Lepisosteus oculatus: one gene and its partners. The protein of the gene in region 2 interacts with the protein of the main gene of each other region in a pairwise test. Links are inferred from orthologs where the notes say so. Each region holds a gene or a part of one and is shown on either strand. Other genes may lie near its edges.

Region 1 (7,671 bases), on a different chromosome or scaffold from region 2:
TTTCAGCATGGAATAAACCTTATCGCTATAGTATACTTTACGCTATAAATTGTTGCATTTTGTTGGGTTCTAATTGCTTCCCACACTGGGTGAAGAAAGTGGAAAGTCAAAAATACACTTTCCACTGCATAGCTCCTTCTAGTTCAGTCCCACCCATTTGATATTTCACTTTTTTTCTTTTTCTGCCTATCTGTAATAGTTGTGTTTGTCCATGTGATCACATTAGATTGAATTTGCCAGGAATCTCCCCTGATCTGAACTCTGTTTAGTGTTTTGCCTTGCTTGTGTGGTGTGAAAAATCAGAGGTCTCTGTCCCCTGTCCTAACCGGTACCTGTACACTGACAGATACTGTTGCTGCTGCCCCGACTGCTCCAGGGTGGGCCGTGGTCTTGGTGCCTTTTGTGATCCTGATGCAAGTGGGCTGGCTGTAGAGTGAGACTGCACAGGAGTCTGGTGGGTATTTGATGTGCACTCATTGATACTGCACCACTATATACAGTATAGGAAGGGTACAGAGTGGTGTCCATACAAGGATTTTATATGACGCTTACACACAGCAGTTTTTTAATGATTTTTCAGAACAGATCACTCCGAATAAATGAACTGCATTTTAATTTTGGAAAGAAGACCAGTCCAATTGAGAGATTGAAAGCAGATCCCTGGCACTGCAGGGCAGCTTGTCACTTCCTCACTGACAGCACTGTCAGAGAGCAGACATGATGCCACATGTACAGCTGAATGTAAATTGCAATTGTCACATGATCAGCTAGGTCTTTGCCATATTTTCATAAGAGGTCGTGCGCATTAAGCGCAATGAGCAGAGGCGGTTTAGTGCAACACATACGAAGAGCCAGTTACTGTGAAGCAAGACCCTTTTGAATCCCACATGTCCAGAAATGGTGATTTTGCTGTACTGTACACTGCTGGTTTTAGGGTCTGAAGGCAACATTGTTTTAAACCTTTGGCCGCCACATGCCAGTTACCGCTGTGATTCCTCCTGCTTAAAACCTCCAAAACCAGGAGGATGCAGTCTTCCAGGCTCATGGTCTGACTGTGCTCGCAGCACTTAGACTACAGTAACAGGGATGGGGTTAAAGGGGAACTGCAAGGCTGTTTTATACAGTATTTCAGTAAAGCACTGATGAGTTAATTTCATCACAATAAAAGTAAAATGTATAGAGTAACTTCTGAAGAGCATTGTAAACAAGCAAACTTGTGAATACATCTCTTCTAATCCAATAGAAATATCGCTCTCCATTGTAGACCAATACTACTAGTTAACTCCACATGCAGAACACATTGGAACACTCCGCAGTGAAATGTCTGCTGCACAACAACATGTCGCTCATACATAACATCACATTAGTCATTACGGAGACTGGTGAGCAGGAAGGACCACTTCACGTTGCAATTCATGGGCAATCAAATGCAAGTCGGCAACAACATGACAACTTGTAGTACTTTCACAAAGTTCATGCTTATTTCGAAATTTGTGATATTTTTCTACAACGTCAATGACGTTATTTTGTTACCAAGGTTTAATAACCGATCTGAGAATTAGGGATTGCAGTTCTCCTTTAAATATTCACTACTTAACACACTGCATGTGCAACAGAAAAGCATGGTAACTCTACTGTAGCATATACTGTACAGTTTTAGCCCCCATGCTGGTTTTTATAGTCCTCCTCACAATATGCTATAATCTTTGCATGTTGAGTACTGATGTGACGGTGTAGCCTAATCAGCTTTCCCATGCACTCACCCCAGGGTGGAGGGACAGTGTCTGCATGACAGATCATCTGTGCTGGACATTACTGGGACAAGATGAAGGACCCTCATTCTCTGCTTCATGCAATGGCTTTGGTTTGCATATGGATTTCTAGTAGTGCCTTGTATTCTTATTAGGCTATCCTGAACTCTGTAAAGTGCTAGTAGTTCAGGTGGGTAGCTGCGTCAGCATGCGTAGGCTGCAAAGGAACAAGTAATAGGTTTATTCCATGCTGAAAAAAAGAAGAAAGAGAACACAACGTTTCGGCCGTGGAGCCTTCTTCAGGTGTCACACCTTCACACCTGAAGAAGGCTCCACGGCCGAAACGTGGTGTTCTCTTTCTTCTTTTTTTCAGCATGGAATAAACCTATTACTTGTTCCTCTGTAAAGTGCTGGCAGTTTGCTCTTCATCACAGTTTTCCTCCTCACTGTGGAGGTGGGGATTTAGTTCATAACCTCAGGTGCTCAGATCTCAGATCTCAGGTGCTGTCCATCACGTGTGGGAGCTGGAGACAGGAAGCTTTCTAAACCCGGTCACCCCTGGAGTTGAACATTCACAGGCTACTGTGGCACAGTCTGTGCAACTCCAACCCACTTTGGCTGCAGACACTCACAGGAGTGCGCTCAGCGGATTAGTAATGAAAACTCACGAGAATTTATTTGGAAAATTTAAGATGTTACTTAAATTGCAGTAAGGCTTTGCCCCACAAAACAAAGCATTTTTCATCAGCATAAGACCAGCTGAAAGACTGCCAAATGGGCTGAATGGTTTGCAATTTTTCTTAAGCAAGCAGGCCAGTCAGCTGATCTGGTTAATTTACTTGCCCCACCAGACCCTCTAGCGTGCTATGGACAGTCCCTCACACATTTAAATCATATAACCTATATTTATAATATACATGTTTATTCTGAAAATACAGATTGTATACATAAACACCTCAGAAGAAAACATAATGAAACATCTTCAATCAGTGACAGTCTCACTGCTGTGCCTGTACCAGGCCAGGAGTGGGCGCCAGCACCAGGCTGGGCTGTGTGTCTTTGCAGTTTCTGTGTGGTTACAGGCTTGGACACACAGGTTGAGACAGGTCAGTGTAACAGCACAGGAGTCCATGGTCTTTGAGATCAGACTGGACCAGGACAGCAGACCAGGCTGAGCTCCCAGCTCCTGTGTGCTGGGTCACTGAATAGATGCTGTACTGTCACAGATAAGAAAGTACCATGAACATACAGTATGATGACTAATTATTTCATTTAATCTTAGTGCCTATATGTTATGTATATACACATCATGTATATACACATTATTAAATAAATACTATATCAGTCAAATAAGTAGCTCAACAATTGCATCATGAGTTTGTTATAGTAAGTACTTTAAGTAAAACTGTGATGACATTTGCATTAGCTGTACTGTTGCCCAGACCTGAGACACTGGGAGACAATACGTGGAAGCTGGCTAACCAGTCTGCTAAAAATAGTAAAAATAATGCTGTCCTAATTTCAGATGGACACACACACAAACATAATAACAAAAATAATGATGATGACAATGATGATGATGATGATGATGATGATGCCAAGCACATCTATCCAGGCAAGGTATGTATTGAGGGCTTGAGTTTCTAAGCTGGAGGGGGACACAGGCAGGAGTCTCAGGAGCAGGGGCTGTGACCCCTGAACACCAGCACTGCACTGCCTGGCACTGGCTGTGTGTTCTGTGCAAGAACTCCATCTGACCAGTCAGTCCATCAGCACCCCTCCGGCTGAACTCACTGAACAAACCTCCCTTCCCCGTGTCTCTGTTCTGGGCTGTGATTAGACCAGGATATGTTTACAACGCTATTATAACTCAGCATGGGTGTTTCTTGGTCTTTATTCTTTTCTTATATATTAGAATATAAAAACCTGGAACTTTAGATAATTTTATAAATTATTAGTAAACTGAGTTTCTGAGACGTGGAGGCTTCACAAACAGGTTTATTGACTCTTTATTGCTCTGCCTCTCCATGCACCCCCATCCTGTGGAGATGGGTTCTGTTCCGACCCACTCCAGTCATTTTATTGCATTTTAAGAATATCTGGATATTTTGGAAAGAGTGTTTTTCTTGTTTTGCCTGCTATGCCTGTAATAAACGCTGTGCATCTTACTGACAATAACATTACCGGCAACAATAAAATGGTCTGAAGAATGTTGGCTATTTTCTGTGACCCCTGGAAAGTTTCACATTTAGTTTTTTTTTCCTTGATAACGTACTGTAGGTTTAAGGATTAACAATTGTTACCACTCTTTCCTAGTTCTATACACCACCTTACATGATGAATCAATGTCTCTATGGTGCAACACAATAGTACTGGAAAAACAACAAACGTCTCCAACAAATAATATAGTAGAACAGTGTTATAGGAGATAAGATTTGTTTTACATGTTTTAGAAAGCAATTGCATATAGAATGAAAGATTTCCTGCTAGAGTTTCCATTACCCCTGGGGACACAGATAGGAGTAGTGTAAATTCATAATGGAGAGAGTGAGCCACACTCTCCGTAAAGTTCTTGGCATTTTTTGGAACCTACTTTTTTATAGAGGACGTCTAGGTTTTTTTTTAATTTGCTTAATCAATTCCATTCAAGCTGAATGCAGCAAACCCGTAAATCTCAATTTACAGACTTCAAAATACGCAAACTGTTCGCGTACACTCATACAAGCAACATTTGACTCTGTACAAAAGAGTTAAATATGAACACCGTGCGACCGGTATGCACTGCATTTTGGGAAGTGTAGTTCACATTGGGACCAACCCACTCGTAACTCGACCGTTCAGCAAATTTAAAAAACTACTATTACCGGCTCGGGTTGCGTTGCAGACAACTGCCGATTTTTTTTTTTGCACGACTTCCTGAGGTAGTGGAGGCCGGCGAGGCAAGGGGGCTGGATTATGAGGTTACAAAGGGAAATCTGTGAGACTCTCGCAGCTGGCTTTCTGGGGAGGCCGGGGAGTCTTGGCAGGAAGATATTCGCCGAGGGACACGTGTTTTCGTGTAGGCGCTTCTGCTGCGGGAGGAGAACCATGGCTGAAAATGCAAAGAAGCTGGCCGGCTATGCTGCCGTGGACAATCACGTGCAGGTAAAGACTATGAATGACTCCGGTAATACCTGTGCATTTCTTCTAATTGACAGATCGCTGCAGGAGGGACGTGCGCTGTGTTTTAATGAAGTGCACAGCACTTAGCAGAGCTACATACCCGAGGTTTAGCAGCGGCGCTCTTTGCACAGAGCTGTTGCACGGGGTGGTTGTGCAGGATTGATCACTGTATAATTAAATTAACCCCCCTCCTGAGTCACAAGACGTCGGCTCAGCTTGAGGGCTCAGAATTATATCTGCTGCATTGAACCTATTGTGCCTCGTCATGGTGAAGAAAGCTCGTTATTGGAGTCTCCCTCGTGTCAATAAAATTTCGTATGCTAGTTTTGTTCATATATTAAACTTCATGAGTAAGCTTCTTGATCACGTACAACCTGGTCTTCCGTTCCAAATTAGGTTTCAGTCTTTAACCCTCATTTAGCAGTTAACAACATGATTCCGTAGTTTAACAGGGTGATTAGCTTACCCTCCAGATGCCTGACCCGTAAAGTTGATCAGTGTACAGCAGCAGCAGGTTTCGCAACTATGCAGTGTTTGCAGAAAGCAAATACAGTTTTTTTTCCCTTCTGTTGCAGTGGGAGTTTGCAAAAAAAAAAGGCAGTATATTGTCTTTTAGCCCCGTACTTGTGTTTTGAAAGAGCACGTGTTCTGGCCCGCAGGAGCCCCTGGTCCGAGGGCAGGTGTCAGCTGAGCTGCAGACCCTGACGCAGCTGGGACTCTTCCCTGCGGTCAGCAGCAGCAGAATACACGCTCTCGTGCGCGCGGTACCTGGTTTTCGTCGAAACCTTGTAGCCGATTACTGCAGAGCTCGGTCATTTCTGCAAGCCGCCCAATGTCCTACCAATACTGCATTGCTGTTTTTGTCACAGGGATGCATTTTCAAGCGCAAGTCAAGTTACTTAATAGACGATTTTGGGGACCAAATGTCATGTTTGTGAATGTTATCACTGATCAGTAACATACTGCTACAAGAGAGAATCCATAAACTGTGCGTTTGCAATAAATACGGATAATATGCGTCATCCGAGTGGGAAAAGCGAGGTGTTGACAGATTCACTCTTCCAAAGGCCTGCATGGGAGCTCTGTTATCAGAGAGTGTCTCAGACTGGGTGTGAATTGGATGCTGTAAACACACTGTTGTGGGGCAACATTTGTGGTCAGTTTTACCCACAACAGTTCTTCCTGTTTTTGATTACTAGACATACAGACAGATGCAATGCAAGAGCCACTTAATGCAAATGTTAATAATAATAATAATAATAATAATAATAATAATAATAATAATAATTTTGGCATTTATATAGCATGTTTCATCTCAAAGTGCTTTACCTAGGAGGGGACCCTATTCATTCACCACTGAAGTGCATTGTTCCCAGTCACCAAAGAGGTTCCACCTACTGGTCCACCGACACCACTTACAGCAGCATTCATAGATCGTGAGCACCTAATCAACAAACAAGCTCGATGGGCCAAATGGCCTCTCCTCATTTAAAATCTGTATTTTCTTCATCTTTTTAACCTGATTTTCCGCAGAGGTCTCCTATCCCAGTACTGACCAGGCCAAGCCCTGCTGGGCTCCTGAGCCCTGGTGAGATGGGGCTGCAGCATAGTGTACAGTGGAGGTAGAAGGGGCTGTTGCAAAGGGGAAAAGGTTTTACAGCTCTGAATGTGAAAGGAAATGAATAAAGACAGCAGTTGCACGTAGTCACCTCCCCCCCTTGAAGAGTCGGCCCCTCTCTGTCGTGCCCAGTAGTTAGTGGTGCAGGTAGATGCTGCCCCCTGGAAGATCTTGTCTCCGAACTTTCTTCATCTGCAGCTGGACTGAGACAGGAAATCCAGCCGTGTGACTGAGATAGAAGTACAGGTGTGATTGTGAGACCCTGTGCAGGCCAGAGGAGACCTCTTCTTTAAACAGCTGCCGTCTGCTTGTCTGGAGCTCTGATGCAGTTAGTGAGCTGGTGTGTCCACACTTCAGGACATGCTTTAGATCAGAAAGGCACCAAGAGGAGCAAGAAGCACGTGACCTTTCCTCTTGTTGCTCTTAACCCTCAGAACAACCATGCTGTTGGTGTGGGCAGTGGCACCACTGTCGTCTACGCTGTGGACAGGCTGGGTGAGTGTCCCTCTCTCCTTTTTTCCTTCACCTCCTGGTACCTTCCCCCTGTTGTCTGAAGCAGGAAGATTCCAGCTGCACACACGTGGCTTGGAGCAGACGGTTCTTCTTCTTTGTCCTTTTCCTGGCTGGGCAGTAGTTAAATGCTGGTGTTGCTCAGTTCTGGTGGGAACCTGTAAGGGCCAGTCTCAGGATGCTGACAGATACTCTGCTTGTGTGTTTTCCAGCGGAAAGAGTGCGACAGGAGAAGCTGAACATCGTCTGTGTCCCAACATCCTTCCAGGTCAGTGTGTCGGCCTGCCCGTCATGAAGAGAGGGAGCGAGTTCAGCGAAAGTGTGAATTCCATAGTACCATAGTTGGAGAACCACTGCATTAGATAATTGCCTATGAAGTTAACAAGTTGTAAGTTTGTGCTCTGTGCAGCCTTGTGTGTAGATGGACCTGGATGCACCTGGAGATGGGGTTCCCCTAGCTCTGTCAACTCTTTTCTCTCTCCTGTTTTCAGGCCCGTCAGCTGATTCTACAGAATGGTTTGACCCTGACTGACCTTGACCGGCACCCTGAGGTACTTTTCACAGTGATGGGGGACAGCTGCACCACAGCAGGAACCAAAGAGAATCCTAAAACTCGTTTTAAAAGTTCAC
Region 2 (7,305 bases):
TCTCATTATGCATATGTATATGAACCACAGAGTGGTGCTATGCTGTTCGACAAGGATTCTTTAAGGCTGTGTCAGGACAGCACACACACCTGGTACTCCTCCTCTAGACGGGACAGCAGCACAGCCTTCTCTACAGTCAGATGTCTGTCAATCAGCCCAAAAGACAACACCAGAGACTTGAGCTGCGCGATCACAAACTCTAGCCCTGAGGGACAAAGCACAAAGTTCAGACAGGGTGGACGGGCACAGGAATGATCACTTCCTGAACGGATTTAAAAACTACAATTACGCTTTCTCCCCAGCTACAGGAGTTTTAGACACGCACACGCAAATTATTGCAAGTGTTCTACCTTTTTTTAAAGAAAACAAGGATCTATGACAATGTGTACCTGCTTCTCATACTAAATGATTGCATGTAATTCGACCGACAGATGTTGGGTGTTTTCAGCGGTGACTGGTTTTACACAGACAGACTGTGGCAGCGCTCCCAGCCGTACCTATCAGAGCCCAAAAGTTGTAGGAGGCCAGGTGCTGTCGGAAAGTGGCCTTCGTCTCCTTAGGGATCAAAGGGCCCATAATGCTGGAGGAGGAGCCGATCACAACATTATACCTGTGAGGAAAACAATCAGTAACGAGCTCAGGTCTGTGGTGGTAATCAGGTGTCAGGACAGCACACATACACATATGAAAGGTGTCAGTGACACAGCTAATTGATGGACAGTTTTCAGAATACAACCACCGTCCTGTGAAGTCCTGCTGTATTCTAGTTTAAAAGGTGTCAAAATGATTGGCTAATCATTAGCAAATGATAAATTCCTGTAGGAGAATTCTGGAATGCTATCAAAGCTAGAAAACAATGTAGTTCTCCAGAAGCTGGGTTAAAGACCGCTGCTGTATCTGTTATGCAATTAAAACAAATCCACGGTTGCCTCATCAAAATCTAGTTATGTTTATTTCTATTCTAAAACTAGTTACAAACCTGCCCTGACCCTGCACTGTATGCTCTAATGTTCTTCACTCCTGAGCTCTGCAGCTCTTTCTAGACTTGCCTCTTTTCAATCCAGTCCAGTACGGGGTCCCACTCGTTGTTCTGCAGCTCCACCAGCCCTGGGGGCTCCTCCACCCTATAGCTGCCCGGAGGCAGAAAGAAACCAGTGAAACAACCATCACCCGCAGCTCAGGAGCCAGCCCCTGTCACAGGGATCTGAACACAAACACTAGGCAGCAAAGTAAGAGTCTGAAGTCTGCGCCAGATTGCTCCCTTGACACAGTAAAGCAAAACAACGGAAATGACCATGAACACAGACAGCTGGCAAAAGAGTGGTTTCAAGGGAAGAGGAAAGGGACCCTAATTACAGGCTCAGATAAATTTCTTCCACCCCAAGCCTGCCTTTTGACTGGCACAGCCTGTGCCCACCCCATGGTGCCGAGTGCCAGGGAAAGTGCGCAGCTCGGCCACTCCCGACTCACCAGACGGTGTCGGTCTCCAGGAACTTGAGCGCGGCTGTGATCACCTGCTCCTTGTTCCTCTGAGTGGGGTTGTCCAGAGCCGTGTTGCACAGTGTGGTCTGGGAGAGACAGAGCGGGGCCTGTTACCTCAGCCCTTCAACATCTCAAGAGAAACTTCCAGAGATTCGGGTTCCTGAATGCTGGAATATTGTCCTAATTAGAATTAAGAGTTTATTCCCTTTGGAATAAACCAGAATGGTTCCTTTCGGGGATTTCTTTGGCTTCCGATCATACAAAAGAACCCAGTGGAAACTAAATGAGTACACAAGTGGCTGATGGTTTTCTGACTCCAGAGGTTAATACGCAAATCCCGGCAGGCAGTGGCCACAGTGGGGGATACACCCTGGACAGGACTCTCAGGACACAGGCCCCACACGCTGCCCGCTGCGAGCTGAGGTTCCTACCAGGTGCATCGTGTAGAACTTGAGAGTGTCCTTCTGGGAATCCCACTCCGTCGCCACGGCAACTGCCAAGACTTCGCTGGGCACTGTGAACAACTTCCCTCCCGGGGTCTTCAGCTTCCCGCGGTCCAGGTTTATCTCAAACAGCCCACCTGCAGGCGCAGGAGACCGGGCGCTGAACAGCACGGCACATCACTCAGCCTGAGCCGATCCGGACCTCGTCTGCACATTCCTCACCACAGCGGAGCACTGAGACACTGTTTCACACACTTATCCACTTGCAGAACAATACAAAATACAAGACAAATACAGCTCTGCTGGAGACGGGCAAGATCAGCCAAACGGCTTGCTGTCGTTTCTTTCTTTCTTTTTTAGTTTTTATTGAATCGTCATAAATACAAAAAGGAGACACAATATTAAAACAAAACTGTTATCTGTTACAGTCTACCTCAGGAAAAAAACAGGATGTGTTTCATACCGCACCTTGTCCTTGTGAAATACTGACGTCCTGGTAGAACTTCTTCCTCCCTGTGGATACAAGCAAATACGAATATCTGATTGAACCGGGCAATTAAAAACAGAGAGAATGTATTTTCATGATCTAACCTAGAGACGTCACCATGGTTGTGTAAGAACGGAACACAAGAATACATTTGCCGCATTACGGGCATCCAGCTTGTTGTGCAATTACATCGGAATCAGCGATTGACTAACAAAGCGACACGAGTTCCCACACGCCGGGCAGAACCCGGCTCTTACCCGGGGTCGCAGTAGAGTATGCCGGCGAGCTTGCAGCGACACAGCCGCACGGTGACTGGACAGCGGTGCCGCCTCTCCTGCACAACCGGGCCAGACCCCGCAACATCTCTCTGACAGATTCTTCTTATTTCGGGAATCACGACCTCAAATCGATTTCATGCGCTTTTGCAGGGTAACCAAAGCATTAAAGCATGTCATAGGGACTTATGACACTTGATTAAATTATGCATTATCACACTGCATTATCGAATCCTAGTTACCCGGCAATCAATACACATATATTTTAATGGTGTTTTTGGACGTGTTCCCCTTTAAAGAATCGCATTCCCAGGGTCAGTCATAACCTGCTCAACCGCATGGGCGCCGCCATGTCAGTGACCTCAAGCGCGTCACTGCTCCTCGGACACGCTCTCCAATGGCCGCTGGGAAACCTGAGGAACGGGGCGGAAACAGTCCGAAGGTCACTGAGGTGGGTTATGGGAGGTGGAGTTCGACTGCGGGAGAACGGAGGAAAAACTACAGATCGGGGCTAGAAGACCTACAAGTCCCAAAATGCATTTCAGAAGGCCATCCAATGAGCGGCGGTTTCTTTGCCAGGTGCGCTCCCCTGGCCAATAGGCTGGCGGGATGTTGCTGCGTGGTGCTGCGTTGAGGTCCCTACTGTTTGCTGGGACCCTGGTAGCGCATCTCTCGGCGGCTGGGGAGAATTCGTGAGTCGGTGAGCCGCCTCGACAGTTCTCCCCCTGTCCCCTTTTTGTTACCGTCTCTGTGGCGTACGTCGGCCATAGCTGGGGCGACCTTCAGACGTGATAAACATGCCGGTCCGGACCGAGTGCTGCAGTACCGCCTGTGCGGCCTTTATAGCCTCGGCCTCGCTTATCCCGCCTCCCCCAATCAACACGCAGCAGCCGGGTGTCGCCACCTCGCTCCTGTACAGCGGCTCCAAGTTCCGCGGACACCAGAAGAGCAAAGGGAATTCGTACGATGTCGAGGTTGTTTTGCAGGTAAGTAAGAAACGAAGAGTATTTATACCGGAGCCTAGTGTCATCGACTAACATACAATCTGGCCAGTAAAACGACGTAATATTATCATAGACGTATTAATATCACTGGGGAGGTGATTAACTAAAAACTTGTAGACGCGTTTCTCAGTTGAGATCAATCTCACATTAAGTTGTGTTGAAATCGTTCTTATCCCTGTGGTGTTATCGAGGTGGATTGTGGTGTTTTTGTTTTCAATCTTTCACTGTTTCAGTTTTATTGAGAACTTCTTCTTAGCTCGAACAGCCCCAGTAAAAAGTCGACTGTAGCAATTTCTAACCTCCTAGGACTGTGTTGTTTGACTTAAAATAATTTATAAGTGTTAAATACAACAATATTGGAGGTTCTAAGGCTTATGCTTTTCAGGTTAGGCTTGGTACCAAAAGCACAACAGTCACTGAAGACATCCAGATCCTCAGTTGCCCTCTTCATAGTCGTCACAGCAGCCAGACCTGCGCTGTAAATGACGTGATCCTTGTCACATACAAAGTGTACCTCGGACTGTGAGAGTTTTATAGGAGGTTAAAATGAACTCTGTGAAACTGGTCCAGCAAAGGTGCTTGTATTTTGCCCGGCAATGATGTGGCATTTCAGTCACATTACCTACTTGAACTACTTTAATAATAGCTGCGTCAGCTCAGCATGCGTAGGCTGCAAAGGAACAGGTAAAGGTTTATTCCATGCTGAAGAGGAAGAAAAGAAACACAACGTTTCGGCTGTGCAGCCTTTTTCAGGTGTCACCCGAAGAAGGCTCCACGGCCGAAACATTGTTTCTTTTCTTCGGTTTTCAGCGGGGAATAAACCTTTACCTGTTTGCATTATTATTATTAAAGCTCACCATTCCTCTACAACATGCGCACATGATATTGCAACACATCAATTTGTGAAATGTGTGCTGCTGAAGGTAAATTATACACTTTTCTTCTTGTGCAGTCACTCTCAGAGGAAGGGTTTTTAGTGTCGGAAGCTGGGTTAATTAAAATTGTCTCAAGTGTCACACTTGGCTTAGAAAAACTGGATTTTTAGCCTCAATTACAAAGTAGGTCTGCAGAAGCAGCAGGGGCTGCAGTGAGGGCCTGTCATTCCTTGCCTCACTAGGTATGTAGGTTCTGAGCACCAGTAATTAGACTCCGATGGAAGTTGGAACTGTTGGAGCCCCGATGATTCACATTGAAACAGTGTTTGACTCATGCTTCAAATATTTAAAAACAATGCCGCTGTTTAGTCAGGTAGTTCAAATCTGAGACCGTGTTGTAATGCTCCGAACTGGCTGTCATGACGATATTGTCATTTTTTGCCTTGACAGCACGTTACGATGGAAGACTCGTACTTGTGCGGGTACCTTAAGATCAAAGGACTGACAGAGGTGAGATTCAGACAGCTGTGGCTCACGGGAGTGTTGTGGTGTTCAGTTTGAAGGGAGATTTACACCTGCCGAGCTGGTACCTTCACGTTTCTGCTTCCTTTGTTGTCGCTTGTGCCAGTTCTCTGGTTTTCTCTTTTTCACAGTTGATAAGTATTTCTGGCGGGTTAAGGTTGCATTTCTGCGTCATCTGGAACTTGCAGCCTTGGTTATATTTATTCAGTAGCAGCAGTTGTTCTCATTCAGACTTCTGCCATACAGGGTTTTACTCAGATCTGATTGATGTGCAGTTCCTTTCACTGGGGCTCCATTTTTACGGTGACTTTTTTTGCTGTTAAACATACCTCACCTGTCGGTGGGGTGGTTCAGAGGAAGAGCTGCTGTTCCAGGAGGGGCTGTGTTCTGTGAGCATCAGTAGCCCATAGAGGAGAGTATTGGCTGCTATATGAGGGGTGCTGGTATTAAGATCGAGGTGAAGTTTTGGAAGGCTAAATGAATATGGACTTGGCTGATCCATTACTGGGGCAATATCCAGTGTGCTGAACTAATATTTGGAAGTTGGTTGGGAGATTCTGAGTTCAGCTATTAGTGGATTGTTGCTTTATAAGATGCCCCTTCATCACAAAACAAATTGTTTAAGCATATTTGTAGCTAAACCCCATTGCTCATTGACAACCCGTCTTTGACCTGAAAGACATAAGACAACAGCTGTTTCTTTTTTCCCCATCAGTTGTCTTTTTTACTTTTATTTTTCCTCACAGGAGTACCCAACACTTACTACATTCTTCGCTGGAGAAATCATCAGCAAGAAACGCCCCTTTTTAACACGGAAATGGGATGCAGACGAAGATGTTGATCGCAAACATTGGGTATAAACAAAGATCCCCTGCTCAAATCAATTTAGAGTCTTAGTTCTGTATCAAGTCCAGTACAGCTGAGTTTTGTGATAAATGTAAATGACTGGTTCACTAATTAGATTTTTTGACAAATAGATGAACTACTGTAGTGTGCTGCACAAGCAAACCTGCATGCAAAATACCACATTTCTCACTTTCAATAAATATAATTTTAACTTGTGCAGCTTGCTGGGAACAATGTTGTATTTTTTTTTTCAAAACTATTTTTTCTCTCTCCTCAGGGCAAGTTCCAAGCTTTTTATCAGTATGCAAAAACATTTAACTCTGATGATTTTGATTATGAAGAGCTGAAAAACAGTGACTATGTCTTCATGAGGTGGAAGGTGAGACCGTTTATTTAAAGTTGTTTCTTTGGGATTGTTTTTTATTATAAGTTATTTGCTTTGGAAAAGCAGTAGCATTTTCCTTTTAGTTTTCAAGTAGTTTTCAAGCAGTAAAGATAGAATAAAAAGCTGAAACCAAGCAGGATGTCTTCTCAAACATTTGAGCTATGCCGATTGCAAAACTGAATTTAGTTTTTAAATACAAAATGTACTTCAAGTAAGGTTTTTTGTGACCAGGTTAGGATTTTTCGGTCAGAAATGAAAGAATGTGTTGCTGTTCTCAAACATGTATAAGTATTGTTGCAGGGATAATAATCAGAAGGTACTGTTTCCGATGCACTGATCTGCCTCCTTATTGATAATTCAGAAGAAATGGTTTACTGTTGTACGGTCCACACAATATGATGGGATTTGTAAACTCTGTCACCTGGGAATGACAACTTGGAAGGTCTTTCAGAGTTGCAAAGACATGTGCAGTTTTCCTTCCCTGTGTCCAGTGCTCTTAATTCTCTTATTATCTGTTCTCACCCTCCCACAGGAGCAGTTTTTAGTCCCAGATCACACAATCAAGGACATCAGTGGTGCTTCCTTTGCAGGGTTTTATTACATCTGCTTTCAGAAATCCACAGCTACCATTGAGGGCTATTACTATCACAGAAGTTCAGAATGGTAGGAATGAAACCTGACGTTTTTCTCCGTCACGTTCACATTGTCGTTTACGAGCGAGACCTCTCCGTAAAGTATTCTTAACTTGCTTCTGAGTTGGTTGTTTTAAAAGGGTGTTGTGATAGTGAACTGAATTTGCTGTTCAGATGACATTCTGGGAAAAGAAACATTAAAGAAAGCAGTGGACTTTGATTTTCCCTGCGAAGAACATGCAGGATTGCAGTAACCTCAGTCAGTGCTTACTCTTCTGCCAGGTACTGTGTAGATTTTAGTGCATCTAATTTCTCAGATGGTTTTGTGGGAGTGGTATGTCCACATGTCGCTGT
Region 3 (6,980 bases), on a different chromosome or scaffold from region 2:
CCTCCGGGGGGCGTGTGAAAACGTGAAAGCCGAGACGCTCGTGGACCTGACGCGACGTGGCCTCAAAAGACTGCCATATAAACAGCACCCGTCAGGACAAACGCCCTCAGGCCAGGGCCGGAGGCTCCTGACCCATATGACATCGGCGTGGAAATACAAAAAGCAGGTGGACAGCTGGAGTGGAGAAGACGGCACCAGCTCCTCCCGTCGCTGGTGAAGACAGCGCACAGAATAGCAGCATGGCTTGGTTACAAGCTCACAGCACAAAGCTGTGATCACTGACATGCTTATTGTGTCGATGACAGCAAAGCATCTTTGACATATGGATAATTTGAGAAGCTTTGTGCAGATCTCAGAGAACAGCACTTGAGACTTGGCAATTTCTGTAAATACTGCTAAAGCAAATGCACTTTTAGTGGCTCATAAAAATAACATTTGCTTTAAGTCTTTACAGTTCCAGTGATTGTGTAAAAACCTGTTTCTATTGTTAATTATTTGTGCATTGCAAACCATTGTGCCACATTGAGCATCAGTACAGTACATTGTGAGCATCAAAAATACTGATAAATTTTATTGTTTGATATGTAAGCTATATACTGTATATAAGCTTTACCATATAACTTACATGTTAAATTAAGTTAGTAAGGCAAAAAATCCCATTGGTACATTATGATTTTAAGAAATGAAGGGAATTTAAGAATTTCTATGATATAGTTCAAGTGACTGATTAGAGATGCCCGAGAACAAACTAATTATTCAGCAATTAATCCCCCCCAACAATATCAGCAGCAAAAAGGCTATTTGTCTTGCATCAGTGCACAGACTGTATAGCAACCATAATCTAAGACCAATGCTGTTAAAACCAGTGACACGATACTATGAATGCAATTTTAAATGATACTACATTAAGGCAGCGTGCCAACATGATTACTACAGTGTCCTGTGCTACTGTCCTATCCTGTGCTTAAAGGTTAATACTTTTAAAGTGTGGCAACTCGGGGGGGTAGCGGCAAAATAAGTTGATTTGCTGTTTCTGGCATTCATTAACAGAGCTGCTAGTGCGAAATTATAATGCGATGCAATCCGATCACGTGATATAAACTGCTGAAAGGCTGCGATGAATCTACAGTACGTCATTGTTTTACAGTCGCTTTTAAATGAGAAACAAATACAAATTTCAAATAAGATTTCAGTTAAGGTGTGAAAAGTGTCAACACAGATTAAATCGTGGTGGGGGGGAGCAACCTGCAAATGCCTTTATTAAAATTTAGTTTACTTTTATAACTCCGAAAACGCATTACAATTTGGAAACGATCACCTAATTTCAACGCTTAAAAGAAAAAAAAAACTCCGGAAAGCAACTGAATATGCCTGAACAGACAGTAATGAACATCTAGCATATCCTTTGCAATTTTAATCATGAAATCAGGATTCATGGTTTTAAGGTGACGCGTTCCGTTTCCTCTGGCAAATTAAGTTTTTAAAAGCATTTCCTGTCAATCCACAAGGCTCGATACAAAATATAGTTCTCTGGGAATAAGCACGGTCTCTATTTATACACATAAATCTATCTATACACTATACACATAAACAGCGGAGTGTTCGACGATTACTGTGGAAGTGACCTACAGTCAGCTCAAACCTGACTGTATAAACACAATCGGGTTGATGAAAACCGGTTTATTACAACTCCCTCCGTCAATGTGCCACTGGAAACGACGCGGGCATGGCGAGATAATGACCTCTAATCAGCCTCCGATCAAAGTGCTTCACATGAATGCCACGGCCGAACTCTCCCGTTTCCCCGACGTGTATCGGACTTCAAAACCCCCCCGATCTCCAAGCGCCGATTGAAGACACCACCGCGAACAGCAGCCCCGACAATGAAGGCTTTTGATTGCGGTCCCAGTCATTTGCCTGGCGGAGACAATAACTACAGCGCAATGTAAAGCGGAACTCGGCGAAAAGCTGTCGCGTTGAAACCCAAACTCTTATTATTCGAGTATTTGTAAATAAATAAGTAAAAATAAATAATGCATGTCCAGCACCGCTCACTTGAAATAACACCGGGCCGTTAAATGCCTTTATTTTGCCTTCTTGTTTTTGCAACATTACATACTGTATGGCTTCAGCCTCCTCTATGTTTTTTTTTTCCTTTATAATGCGCCGGCTGGTGATTGACAAACGGCAGGCTACTGTATCCGTTTATATGATGATCCATTATAACAGTAAGCATGTAACAAAGGCAGCAGCCTATTTTTAAAAGGTAGCTGAAGGCGCACGGCGGGGGTGTGGGGGGGGAGATATCTAACCCACAAAGGTGAAATCTGGTTGAATCCCACCATCCAGAAAGGGATTCGCAGGCAGACGAGGACGCATCTGGGCTACCTTGTCCCTTACCTAGCGCCGGGTTATCCCAGGAAAATCGGCTTGCTTGCGTTTCGGGAGTCAAGGGGACCCAGCGCACTTGCGGCAAAGTGAGGTGAGGTCCATGCAAACTCGCGGTAGCGGGGACTGCAGTCCACTCCTCACGCCGGAGCCCGGGCGACAATCACACACCTGCTTCTCCCGGTGGCGTCGGTCCGACAGAGGCTCCTCCGAGACTGTGGGCGCAGGGAAACACACCCCCCACCGGATTTGGGATGCACTCGCTCCTCTCCTGCGGGGTGGACGGCGGTCCGCTAAAATTGCATTGCAGCAGTAACGCCGTCTCTTCACAGGGAGACAAAACACGGCTTGCAAGGTGCTTGGCAGAGCAGGAGATAACGCAGAGTCACGTTACTATTCTGCATCCTACATGCCAGTATAGGGTCCAGACGCTAGCTGCCGCCGGGTAGTCAGGGTGGCAGCACAGTAACAACATGCTCAGCGCCCGCGATCATCCGCCGTCGTGCTCCCCTCAGCCCTTGGTTTCCAGTGAATAAATTATTTTATTCCAGTATAAAAGGGGGGAATATTGCCACACCGCGCTCCCATAATAAGCAAGATGGCTGGTGCCTCCAGTGGCGCTGCGGACCTGCTCATTGGCTTCAATCGGGGGGGGGGGGGGTTCGTAGTCATGGAAACGACCAACAAGTTCAATTTGTGCCGTGGGCCTGGCTGAGCGTGTAGGGGGTCAACGCGGAGAATAGCGCAGAAACCCGGCGTTTTGTAACACTAAACACTTCCTTGTGCCGGCTTAGTTATTTTCTTCTAGTTTTGTGTAATGTAACAGACGTGATTCCGGGTAATTCATTACCCAGATAAGGTAGCTTGGTAGCTGCTGTTCGGGCAGTTCAAGCTGGGACGCTGTCTTGCGATAAGCTGTACCAATCAAGGGGGGTGTTTTACGCTTGGTACTTTTAATATGTGTGAAATGCTATAAAACATGAAATTAAAAAAAACTACACAAGGTTTCTTTCAGCATATACAATAGCAGTGCCCTTTTTTCAGGCATTAAAAAGTAATAATGCCCGGGGACGTCAAGAAAACGGGTTTTATTTTGGAACAAGTTTGTATACAGTTGTGTATTTTCAGCTTAATTTTGCCTGAGAGAACCACATATTTTTCATCAGAGCCTATTGCAACACCTGATTTCCATTTCATTTCATTGAAAGTGGATGAAATCGATAGGTCAATACTCGCATCATAGTGCTGATGAATTTGTAGGCAGTAGGGAGCTGCGTCAGCACGCACGGGCTGGGAAGAAACACGCTTAAAGTAAAAGAAAATATTTCGTTTATTGAACACTAAAATTCGTTTAGTCTTCCTAAACTGAAAAGATTGTACTAAAATAAATTATTGTTCTTCCTTCTACGGTAATGAATCGGAATTCATTGTTTTTTATAAAGCTATTACGGTACCACATGTACTGTACGCTGTAGATATAACCAGAGTATACATCTCAAATGTGTTTGTGACACATTTGTAGAGTGTAGAAGTATTTTGTATATACTGTACATACAGTAGTGCAAAATAGGTTGTGTAGAATTCAGCAGAATTCCTGAATACGCACAGCAATTGTGCAGCAAATATTTGTTTAGGACTGCTTTTAGTATGATAAGTTACAGATCTCTGAGTAACACCTCAAACAGATTCTAATGAATTATACTGGGGATGCTGGGGAACAAACAGTGTGCACTGGTACTAATGAAAGCCCCAGAAAAACTCTTGTGACAAAGAAGAGACAGTGCTTTTTCTTCCAAGTCTACCTTTCTCCTCAGTCCCCGGAACAAAACACAAATTCGTTCCATTATTGATAGGCAATGAAATGGCATGCCCTAAATAATCACAAAAAGACTCAGACATGTCCCTGCTGACCCCTAGCAGAAGGAGCTGCTCTGGCACCTTAATAAATAATGTACAGATCTGAAGGAATGAGTTCACTACCACTGTAACTCATGAATGACTTAACGTCTTTTCTCTCAATACACATCTAGAACTGGAGCACATACTGTACAGGTACAACATCTTTCAATGCTTTGACAATTTTGTCAGGGAGCGTACTGTAGCATGCACAGTGCAATGGCAGGGCTAGTATTTTCACTCTGCACTGATTGCAGTCAGCACATGATTTACTGATGTAATGCAATTAGTATGAAATTGTTAATGTTTCCTTGTTAATGTTTATATTGTTTTGTTTGTTTTTCAGTAAACTGCAATGTTCTTTTTTATCGTTAAAATAAAAAATGGTGAAATCTGTGCAATAAGCTTACCTGACATGATCTCAGACACTTTCAAAACGAGTCAGTGAAATACATTTGACTGACCCACCCTTCCTCAAATAAAAGAAAAGCCTTATGAAAAGCTGTTGGTTAAAAATAGCAAAGGTATGGCTTGGTGTAATCAATCGGCTTCACAGCGTTGTTATCCGTTTCTTTAAATAGAAATTGTTACAAAATCTATTTTCTTTTTTAAAATATTGTCAAGAAAACTTTGTTTGCCACATGATATATTTTTCACTGCCTTGCCCTTTGTCTTTGCAAAGTTCCCACCATTCACTTCTACAGCACAGATGAAGATTCCAGATTATCAAGCATGTGAGGTGACCTTTCTGGACTCTATTATTTTTCTCTGTGCTGTTGCTGTGCAATCTGAATTCGGAAACCTACTGCAATGATGAAGTGCCCTCTCAGGTTTGTTTTCTGCCCTGTTAACTGCGAATCTGCTCTCGGCAGGCATGTGGACCTTACACGAGACACTCAGGAATGTCAGCATGATGCTGGATATACTTAGGTGACTGGAGCATTCCCGGAGATCGACGTCCAGTGAAAATCTAGGACTCGACTGGCACCTCTCAATATGAACCATGTTGAATATGAGCCTCTTGTTGTTATTTTTGTAAGTCAATGCTGTTTGATGAGCCTAGGTCACAACAGCTTCTTTGCCTTTGCAGTGACCTGCTCCATAAAGAAGCCTGTGATTAGTACAACCGGCTAAAGATGAGGTCATGACTACAGTATATCTTTAATTATCTCATGTTCAACTATAAATACTGCCCAGCATCAGACTCCAGCAATTCGAACAGTACGTATTACAAGAAGTGATGTGATAAATGCTGCTAAAAAATAGCATTCTTATCTTTGACTTTCACATGCTCTTTACTTCCAAAAGGTTTAACATTCCAAGCATCTGATATTGTCACCTTATCTTAACATGTAGAACCAACTGCTTTCTTTCAAATGGAGTTAAAGCTATGTTGCCCCATAGTTTATGTTTCATTTTATTGCCTGATGAAATTATGTTCTAGTTTACTAAAGGGATTTACAATTTGGATTAACATTACCATATCGTTTTATTAGACCTTTCTTCACAGGGATTTACATTGCTTAACAACTACTGAATAATAGTAATTATTATTCAATTGTCAAGTTTCTGTCAATGTTTAGCAACTGGAATTAATTGCAGCACCTCTTTGTGTTGTGAAGTTGTGTACTACAATGGAGGTTTGTAGCTTGTGTCACATGAAGTGCCTAATGTTTTCTTAAACATTTAAAGAGGCTGATTTCAATTAAAGACTCTTATAATATGTGTGGCTACTTTCCCAGCAATTTACCAATTAATTGTGTTACCATTTAACAATTATCATATTACCATTGTGTTACCACGTAACAATTACCTCGTTACCATTGAGTTACCATCTCACAAGAGCAAGTTATTTGTTCTTTTACTCTGCTGTATATAGTGAGTGAGCTAGAGTGATTTTGATTTCTCAACTCAGAATAATTTCTATTCTGAATTCATACTCTCAGTTCCTGAGTATAAATTGTAATTCACAAACTGAATACAACTTGTTGTAAAAATGACTTGATTTAGTAAAAGTGAAATTAATAAAAGTTTGAAACGTATTTACTTAAAGCAAACAATCAATTTTTATTAAATTTAGTAAAAGTTAAAAATGTAGTAAAATATTTTTGCCTCAAATACCATAATTATTCACCCCCACACATTCACAAAAGACAGTGTAAAGAAAGTCACAAGTCCAGTCTTATCCTAAATTAAATAATCACAAGATTGGACACAGCAGGGTGTTGAGGGTCAAGTCTGAGAAATCCTGTGTTAGAAGAAAACCCAGTGTCCTAAACTTTCTCAAATAACACAGCCTGCACACTCTCTGATTACATGAATAAAGCCAGACCTTTGATCTTTAATCATAGGCAGACAACTCCAGTCCTCGAAGGCCAGAATCTAGCCAGTTTTCCAGTTCTCTTTACATTATTAACGGCTGAAGACCTTTGAAAAGTGTTAAACTGGTCCAATTAATCTAATGATCCGCTACATCAAGTCAATAAGAGCAGAAGTGGTAAGGAGACTTGCAGACACTGGAGTTGTTGAAACAGGGCTGCAAATGTTGGATAAAAAACCCAAAACGTCTTGAAAAATGTCCCATAGAATTCAAGATTAATGTCACGTGTATGCTCCCAAGAAATCTACAAAAGAAACTAGCGTTTATTAAGGTGCTTGTTTCCGCATTTGACACTTGAAAAATATCTGTGTCTAAC
Region 4 (7,776 bases), on a different chromosome or scaffold from region 2:
TGTTTTGACCTTCAAAGTTTTATTGAAGTGGAGTGTCCTGCTTGGGAACACTCCAGCTGTGGCACCATTCTATGTGGCCATGAAGATCACTGTACTTATTCCGGGATCACATGGATGCATTCAGTTTTGTTTTCGGAAGGATGGATGCAACTGCCTGTGTGTAGATCCTGTTTGTTGGGTATGGTAACTTTGTAACCCTGATATTCTGACAGGCCTGGACAAACGAAGAGGAGATCTCCTATCTTGCAGTATATTATTACTCTATGGAACACTGCACTACATTCTGAGAAATTCAATAATAATCCTTCTTAAAAAGAAGTCAGATCTTTGAGATTATCAGGGAATCTTGGAGAAGAATCACACAAGACACCTTTCTATTACCGTTTTTTACCTTTGTCACAGGTAACTGTGACTGTTAAAGGGGAACTGTAAAGCTAGTTTTATATTTTGGAGTCAGAAAGAATCCACATTGATGAATGTATTCAAACCACAATAAATGTATTATGTACTCAGTAACTTGTAAAGCCTTCGATTTACATCACATAAAAGCTCTGCGATTCAGAATGACGCAACGGTAACGCATTCCAGCCATACGACACTGTAAGATTACTTTATTGGCCATATACAATTTCTTGTATTAGGAATTTGTAAACAAACGGACTTGTGAATACATCTCTTTTAATACAATAAAAATTTCTGTACTCACCTTTGAGAGTTTTGCTTACCAAATACTAATTACTTGCTAACCCTGCATGCAGATCATGTTGGAACCTGTACCTGTACTTATTTGCTTGTACATCACATTAAATTAGTCATGACGGAGACTAGGGAGCAGGAAGGGCCGCACCATATCACAATCCTTGGAAACTCAAATGCAAGTTTGCAACACCCTGGTGATTTACAGCAGTTTACAAAATTCATGATTTTGTGCTTAATTCGAAATTTGTAAACTTTTTTTGATCGCCAACCGTCAATTAATTTATTCTTTTACCAAGATTTAATAACTTGTCTGAGAAACTGGGACTGCGGTTCCCCTTTAAAAGACAACTCATAAGTAATTTTATTGAAATGCCTCCAACCTTCCTCCTCACTCCTTCAGTACTGTGTGTACAGTGCAGTTTGTTCAGTCAGGGTTGCGTACCTGGCAGATCTCGGTCCTCACATGTCACCGGTGTGTTTGTGAAAAGCGTTGGTTTTGTCAATCGCATCACTGCAAGAGAACAGGCATTATCAGATTAACTTGCGAGTGATCTGTCACCTTTATTAATGGTGCTTCTCTGAAAGCCTGGTCTAGTATCACACCTAAGAGAATGGAATGCACATGGGAACAACTTTAGAACAATTAAGAGATGCAACTCTTCCAATTAATTTGCTTTATGTCTGTATTATTTTGACCACTGTACCATGAAATAATTTTGAATTATGCCAATGCACATTCTTTATGTTCTCTCTAATACTCTTAAGAGTTCACAGCTGTTTCTGTAGAGAGGAGACAAGTCTTTAATGACATGCCAAATGCAGCATGTCTCTGACCAACACAGTAATTTCAGTGTTTCACCACACACCCGTTTGGAGACCGGTGATGCCATAGTGAAATGTTCTGCTGTTTTTCCCTTTTGTTTTATTCAATATTAAGCTTAAGGTTGCAGACACTAGTGGACACAAATATCCAAATCTGTTTTTCCGGCTTAAGTGGAAGAGGCAACCTTGTACAAACTTCAGCTAAACTGTCTCTTTAATACAAAATTCTCTCACACACAATAATAAAACATGGTGAAGCTCTCACGTAGCTCTCTCTCTATATATATTCCTTCTTCTTGAAATATCAATTGTAATCACTGGCATTGAAATATTCAGTTCACAAAGATTCCCATTTTTTCCCCATTGTTTCATATTCAGAAAGTGCAAAAGACCCAACTCTGTCATGCTGCTTTTCAATTGTATGGAATTTCTCTTGATACATTTTTACTTTGTATTAATACAGGACATTGGGTGGCATTTAGAGATGAGTTTATTTTTTCAAGTCTAACAAAAAAATAATTACAATAAATAGGTGAAAAACATCTATTGTGTTAGAAATCAGTTCATAGTATTAAAAATTTTTCATTCATTTTCCATCAAGACTACATGCTAAAAATGGTTCCATGTTTATGAACTACTAAATTAATTTCACCGGTTAAGTTCAACTGTTGTTTCATAAACTTTCCGATATATTCACTATACAAAATATCACAGAAAACCCAAATCTGCCCCACATCTCGTTGAAAATTTGCGTTGCAAGAAGGAAGTTTGGAATGTCTCACTGCCCTGCTCAGGACAGTCCAAACCCATTCCATGTCTTTTCTGAGGCAGTTCGATTCCTCAATTATCCACTTGGCCCTCTGCAGTGAGTGGATCTGGAGGCCTTCCAATATTTCCTGGAGCTGTCTGGAGAAAGGCAGAACTTCCTGAAGTCTCCCAGGAAGAGAAACACTCCATGACCTTCTAAACCCTCCTCCTTCTTTCGAAACACTTGCTGCGGAGTTTGGCGAACCTGTGCGCAGAGACAGCGCCCTCTCCTTGCCCCTTTGAGCTCTCGCCCTCTTAAAACCCGTGCAGAACTCCAGCAGGTCTTCTGTGCAGTCATAGCTTTGAGAAGTCGCCAAAGGAGCTGAAGAGCTCAGCTGACACCTGATTTGTTCCACCTCCTCTGGCGAGATAACTGGTGGGCGCGTTGTGGGTTTCAGCGGTAGCTTGCTGGCATCATCTGGGAACCAGGGTACAAATCTTGGCAAAGGAGCACAGGGAAAATCTTCCAATGCCCTTTCGGCTATTTCCAACACATCATGTAGGTTACCTTGACGATTCTTGTAATGCAAGACTACATCCATACTATCACTAGCTCTTCCACGGAACGCAATTACCGAACTTGGTTTCGGTGTTTCTTTAACTGACGATCCTTATGGATTTCAAGGACACCAAGAAATCTGTCACATTGGTCGGTTTCCAGTTTCCAGTGCGGGGCAGCTGAGAATACCTGAAGCGGAATTATGGTGAAGGTGTGAAAAGATCAGGTAACAATCACAGTAAAGCAGCCGAAGCCTCCATCCTTGAGTCACCGCGAATGACCAGCTCCCTAACAACTTACGCATCAAATCATATATCCCGTTAACAGCTAACTGCGCATCACCTGCAAAAAAATGAAAAGTCATCCCTCTCGTCCTTTTTTTTATAATGAAGAATTTGTTCCACATATACTATGTCTGACCCATAGTATCATTAACGCAGAGGGCATATTTATTTTAGATTTGACTTAAAACAATGTTTGGCGTTTAGAAAAAAAAACTTCTCGGGACTTTGTACGACTCTAACCATGCGAGACACATTAGTCCATTAGACTTTCGGACAATACACATATATTTTCAGAGACATAAGACTTGACATCAAACAAGGCAAAATATTATAAACTCATACATGGTTGTTTTAAATAAAGGCAATTGTCTTGGCTATCTGTTTACGGACGGAAAACCGATTGCGGATTTATGTTGGGGCCGTAATAAAGTTCTAGTCAAATTAACCATAATAATTAAACTCACTCCTTGGACGCATAAAAATATAGATCATACAATTGTTTGTTTCAATGTCAATAAAAAAACCCGAAAATATTACCTTTTAAAGCCAGCAAATGCTCTTGTTTGGCCTGGTTGACATCCATCTTCCCTGTCTGCGTGAACCTGTGAACCTTCACCTGCATTGCAGAATAGTGTACGGAGAGCAAATAGGAACAAACAGTGCGGACGCGTTTCTTTTTCCTTTTTTTTTAATTGGGGTTTTAGTGTCTCCCGGCGGAGCTTCATTAACACGCACACAGGGTACTGGGGTTCACGACGTCAGCAAATTCTGTGCCCTTATGAAAAAGAGAACAAACTCTCATTTAATGTTAATATAGAAGCATGTAATTAGCAAAAATAATTGAAGGAATCGTTATCGCCTTTCATTTAGAGATAATGCACTGTTTCATGCATGGAATCAAGTTACACGTTTGGAAACAAAAAACTACAAAGGTATTAGCTTTTCATAACTTTTTTCCATGTTGTATACATACTGTATATTAATGACTTAACAGCTGTTTACCATGCTCATGGTGAATGCAAAGGGACCTTATCACCATAGACCGTATTAAAATTGACTGGCTAGATGGAGTTTGATATAGTTGAAGTGGTCTTGAAATTGGAATTTAACATTAGAACATCCAAGCTACAAAAAAGTGCAATATCATTATATAAGGATTACAATGGCTCATTGTACACATGGCAATTGAGAATGTAAAAGTGACGTTAAAGAGAGCAAATAAAATCATATAAGAAAATTCAAATTGTTTAATGGGAAAATGTATTCTGAATTCAAACGAAAAAAGTGTGTGCACCATAAAGTGTATATTTATTTTTTTCACTGTGACACTTTCACCCTTCTTTTGCATTATTACTGCATCAAAACTTACTTCTTAACACATTACTCGAAAATTGGCTCTTAAACATAAGGGAGAAATAAAATACAGTATTTTCCGGCTGAAAATAATTAAAATGCTTAAGAAAAAACACATAAACTCGACTAAAAAAATCTTAAAATTCTTTCAAAGTCAAAGATTCCGCCTTCAAAGCCTCCTCTTCTGCTACACAAAAACTTCCTTCACCGAACCTCTTCAACGCGCAATCGCACCTGCAGCTTTCTGGAAGCTGACGGAAACAGCTGACAGGAACGTCCATTTTGCTTATTCGGGGGAAGGTGGAAGTTTTAAATAGGAACTCGGTTGTTACTTTACACACATATGTCGAGGAGATTAAAAAGACTGCTTTTAGAACTATAATTTGAGTTTTTATTTTCCTATTACAGTGCATATAAGCATTTTTATCTCGATGCCATTCTGCCTACGTGCAATCGGACCCACCTAGGAGCGGCTGGGCTGGTGGTAGAGCCCGAGGATGGCTGCTGCTGTAGGTGTAAACAAGCAGGCATCTGCAGCGGCAATGGAGAGCTGTGTTCGACACGGCCGGGCGGCTGCAGGAGGCACGGTGAAGGTGAGTGAAGCCGATGCTCAAAACGGTCAGTGACCGAAAAAGAAAACCTATTGCGACGCCCGCAGAGAGGGGTGCATTGCCGGTGACCGTGGTTGACAGTGTTGGCGAGAGAGAGCGAGTTGGGCGGTCGCTGCTGTCGTGGCTCGGATGCTGTGTTGCTAATGTAGCTGCACCAGCTTCTTTGGTGCTGATGACAGCCTCTGAAAATGCGATGTTCCCATTGTCTTTTACGTAACCCTTTAACTCAGTTTGCACACTGCAGTTTAATTCAGAAAAATATATTAATCATGCGTTATTTGTTATGTAAGTGCAGTATGACCAAGATCTCATGACAAGGGACTTGCAATTTGTGTGGCACAGAAACGCCTGTGTTGCAAAGAGGAAAGCGTTCTTTGGCTTGCTTAGACTTGTAACTAAGTCTGGAAATTTCCAGCGGGTTTAGAGCAGGCTTGCTCGCCTGCGTTGGCGTACGCATCAAAGAAAAGGCTGTACTTGAATACAATTGCATGTTTCAAAATATAGACAAATTGCACTTCCTGTGCGCATGTAAATCATTGTTTTTGTTTGTGGTTATACTTAAGATCACATATTTGACCGAGACGTAGTCACTTAAAAATTGAGTTTTGTGTATCGCACACACTTCATTGGCCAGTTTTCTTATTACTTCAATATTGCATAAAAATGTTAATAACCCTGATTTTAAGTCTATGCGTGCAGATGGCTAAATTAATTGTTTTTATTTTTGGTAACTGCATCCATTATTTTGTGTCTCTAATGTTATTATCATTAATTCAGATGTCTGATATCAATTGTGCAGCTTTCTTTTTAGTAGCAACAGAAGAATCTTGCTTACCCACAAACAAGCAATATATCGATACCGACATTACATAAAAATAAATTTACAGTTATCTAGATCTAAAATAGGGAAAGTCTGACTGAATACTGTAATCTAGTAAAGTTGTAAAATTTGTGAATGAATGACCCAACCACACTGGGATGAAGTTAATTTTCATGGTCTAATTTTTTTATGTTTGCAGAAATTAAACCTGCTCCTTGAGCATGACCATGTAAAGATGCATTTGCATGGCGTTTCTGGCAGAAATAGCATAGAGACAAATACTTTGAGCAGTAAATAAGGAATTGCAAACATCTCCTTCAGAACTCGTTTTGCTCGCAATTTGATTAAATCCAAGTTGCTTTACTCTAACGGACTGTTCTCAAATATGCTAATGTTAATATATTTCGTCAGCTACAGTATAATAATACTGCTCATTCTTGTGCAATACATAAAATGAAAAGGGTTGTATTGAGCCATCAGTTTTTTGCCTAATGTTTTTGAATTTCCAGGTAGCATTAAACCTCAAAATGTCCCAGACTTGAATGCATGTAGAGAGTATCCCCGTGCTGGACATTTCCTCTGTGTTTGTCCCCTTGTCTCCTCTCTTTGCCTGCCTGTAAAAGCTTTCAAACATTTGCACAAGAATTCTGCTCAGTGAAAAAAAAACTGTTAAAAATAGTTTTTTCCCCCTCATCTAGTAATAAAATGCCTTTGTGAATTGATTTTGTGTTCAGTCATCTTTGCTCCTCCATAGGTGTATTACTGGAAACCTTCAATATATTACACTCATACAGTATGTTTCCCATTCTTGTACCTCACTATATTTCGTGACTTCTTTAAGACACCATTCTTTTACCCTCATTCTCTATGATAAGACACCAAATGTTTTAATAGGAGACTATTCTATTACTTTTCCGTGTAATTTAAACAGATGTAATGAACAGTTAAGAAACTGCATTTTAAGAGTTGGGGGTGAAAAGAACAAAAATTTAACATTCAGGTAAAATATTAAATAGTTTTAAAACTTAGTTTAAAGCCTCACTAAAATTAGAGTCAAATTCCTATTATGTATGATAAGACCGCTTCAATATGAGTATGGTGAACATCCTATAAAACAATTTGTACTTAGTGTAAAACAACGTGAGCTTCCAGCTTCTAAGGTCATTACACACCTCTATACTGTACCTCATGCTCCTGCACAGACCTGGTTAAGTTCGACAGCTGAAAAATTTGGGCTTTTGGATACTCCTAAAGCTTTGCTGGAGCTGAAGTCAGTCTCAATCTATGTAGAAGCAGAATTCTCCTGGCCTTGATGACATTCCATCTCGGCTAGTGCAGGCTGTGTTTGATCATGTTAGTCCAGTAATATTCAATTCTAGACATCTTTCATGGAAAAACTCTTATCTCATTTTCAGATATTATTTCTATTTTTCCTAATAAAGATAAAGGTCCACAAAACTGTTCAAGCAATAAGCCACATCACTTGCTGGATTCTGACTTTTTTTTTGGCAAAAAGATCTTTTTAAGTGAAAAAAGAGGCATGCATGTGTGGCTTTGTGGGAGGTTGGTCCCATGCCACTGATGCCCAGACTGCTCCTACTTGATGATAGTTCCTGCACATCAACATCTTGATTCTTTTCTGCAGCTATAAAATCTGCCTTCCAGGACTGAGTGGAGAGCAGCATTGCTTTTAAATCATAGAGAGTTTTGTTCATTTGTAGATATACTTCTTGAAAGTGTCCAAATAGCCATTATCCTTCTTGAAAATAATTAAATGACATTGCTGAGCTCCAAGAGCTCAAATCTTGGCCCAGACAAAGGCTTTTTATAATTTACACAATATATTCAATCTGCCCCTTTCTTTTTTCTTTTTTTTCTGTT

What was found.
Region 1: the proteins of atpaf2 (region 2) and rpia interact in binary tests that used the Homo sapiens proteins (3 or more experiments, as listed by UniProt). The two-hybrid records come from large-scale screens. The link is inferred for Lepisosteus oculatus from reciprocal best matches to the Homo sapiens genes ATPAF2 and RPIA.
Region 3: the proteins of atpaf2 (region 2) and sorbin and SH3 domain-containing protein 2 interact in binary tests that used the Homo sapiens proteins (3 or more experiments, as listed by UniProt). The two-hybrid records come from large-scale screens. The link is inferred for Lepisosteus oculatus from reciprocal best matches to the Homo sapiens genes ATPAF2 and SORBS2.
Region 4: the proteins of atpaf2 (region 2) and trim23 interact in binary tests that used the Homo sapiens proteins (3 or more experiments, as listed by UniProt). The two-hybrid records come from large-scale screens. The link is inferred for Lepisosteus oculatus from reciprocal best matches to the Homo sapiens genes ATPAF2 and TRIM23.

What each region holds. Positions count from the first base shown.
Region 1 is NC_090696.1:29,001,156-29,008,826, reverse strand, and holds the start of rpia (ribose-5-phosphate isomerase), read left to right. Parts: upstream 1-4,650; 5' UTR 4,651-4,706; coding exon 4,707-4,895; intron 4,896-6,965; coding exon 6,966-7,026; intron 7,027-7,253; coding exon 7,254-7,309; intron 7,310-7,532; coding exon 7,533-7,592; intron 7,593-7,671. UniProt on the Homo sapiens protein: Catalyzes the reversible conversion of ribose-5-phosphate to ribulose 5-phosphate and participates in the first step of the non-oxidative branch of the pentose phosphate pathway.
Region 2 is NC_090714.1:17,606,409-17,613,713, forward strand, and holds the start of atpaf2 (ATP synthase mitochondrial F1 complex assembly factor 2), read right to left. Parts: upstream 3,012-7,305; 5' UTR 2,776-3,011; coding exon 2,670-2,775; intron 2,439-2,669; coding exon 2,394-2,438; intron 2,063-2,393; coding exon 1,914-2,062; intron 1,569-1,913; coding exon 1,471-1,568; intron 1,131-1,470; coding exon 1,050-1,130; intron 611-1,049; coding exon 498-610; intron 206-497; coding exon 90-205; intron 1-89. Other genes in the region: gid4 (glucose-induced degradation protein 4 homolog), read left to right, coding at 3,485-3,673, 5,017-5,076, 5,835-5,942, 6,212-6,313, 6,852-6,982. UniProt on the Homo sapiens protein: Plays a role in the assembly of the F1 component of the mitochondrial ATP synthase (ATPase).
Region 3 is NC_090696.1:75,801,826-75,808,805, forward strand, and holds the start of sorbin and SH3 domain-containing protein 2, read right to left. Parts: upstream 3,017-6,980; 5' UTR 2,560-3,016; exon of another isoform or gene 2,401-2,559; intron 1-2,400. UniProt on the Homo sapiens protein: Adapter protein that plays a role in the assembling of signaling complexes, being a link between ABL kinases and actin cytoskeleton. Can form complex with ABL1 and CBL, thus promoting ubiquitination and degradation of ABL1.
Region 4 is NC_090698.1:27,875,587-27,883,362, reverse strand, and holds the start of trim23 (E3 ubiquitin-protein ligase TRIM23), read left to right. Parts: upstream 1-4,772; 5' UTR 4,773-4,961; coding exon 4,962-5,057; intron 5,058-7,776. Other genes in the region: trappc13 (trafficking protein particle complex subunit 13), read right to left, coding at 1,142-1,210, 3,649-3,733.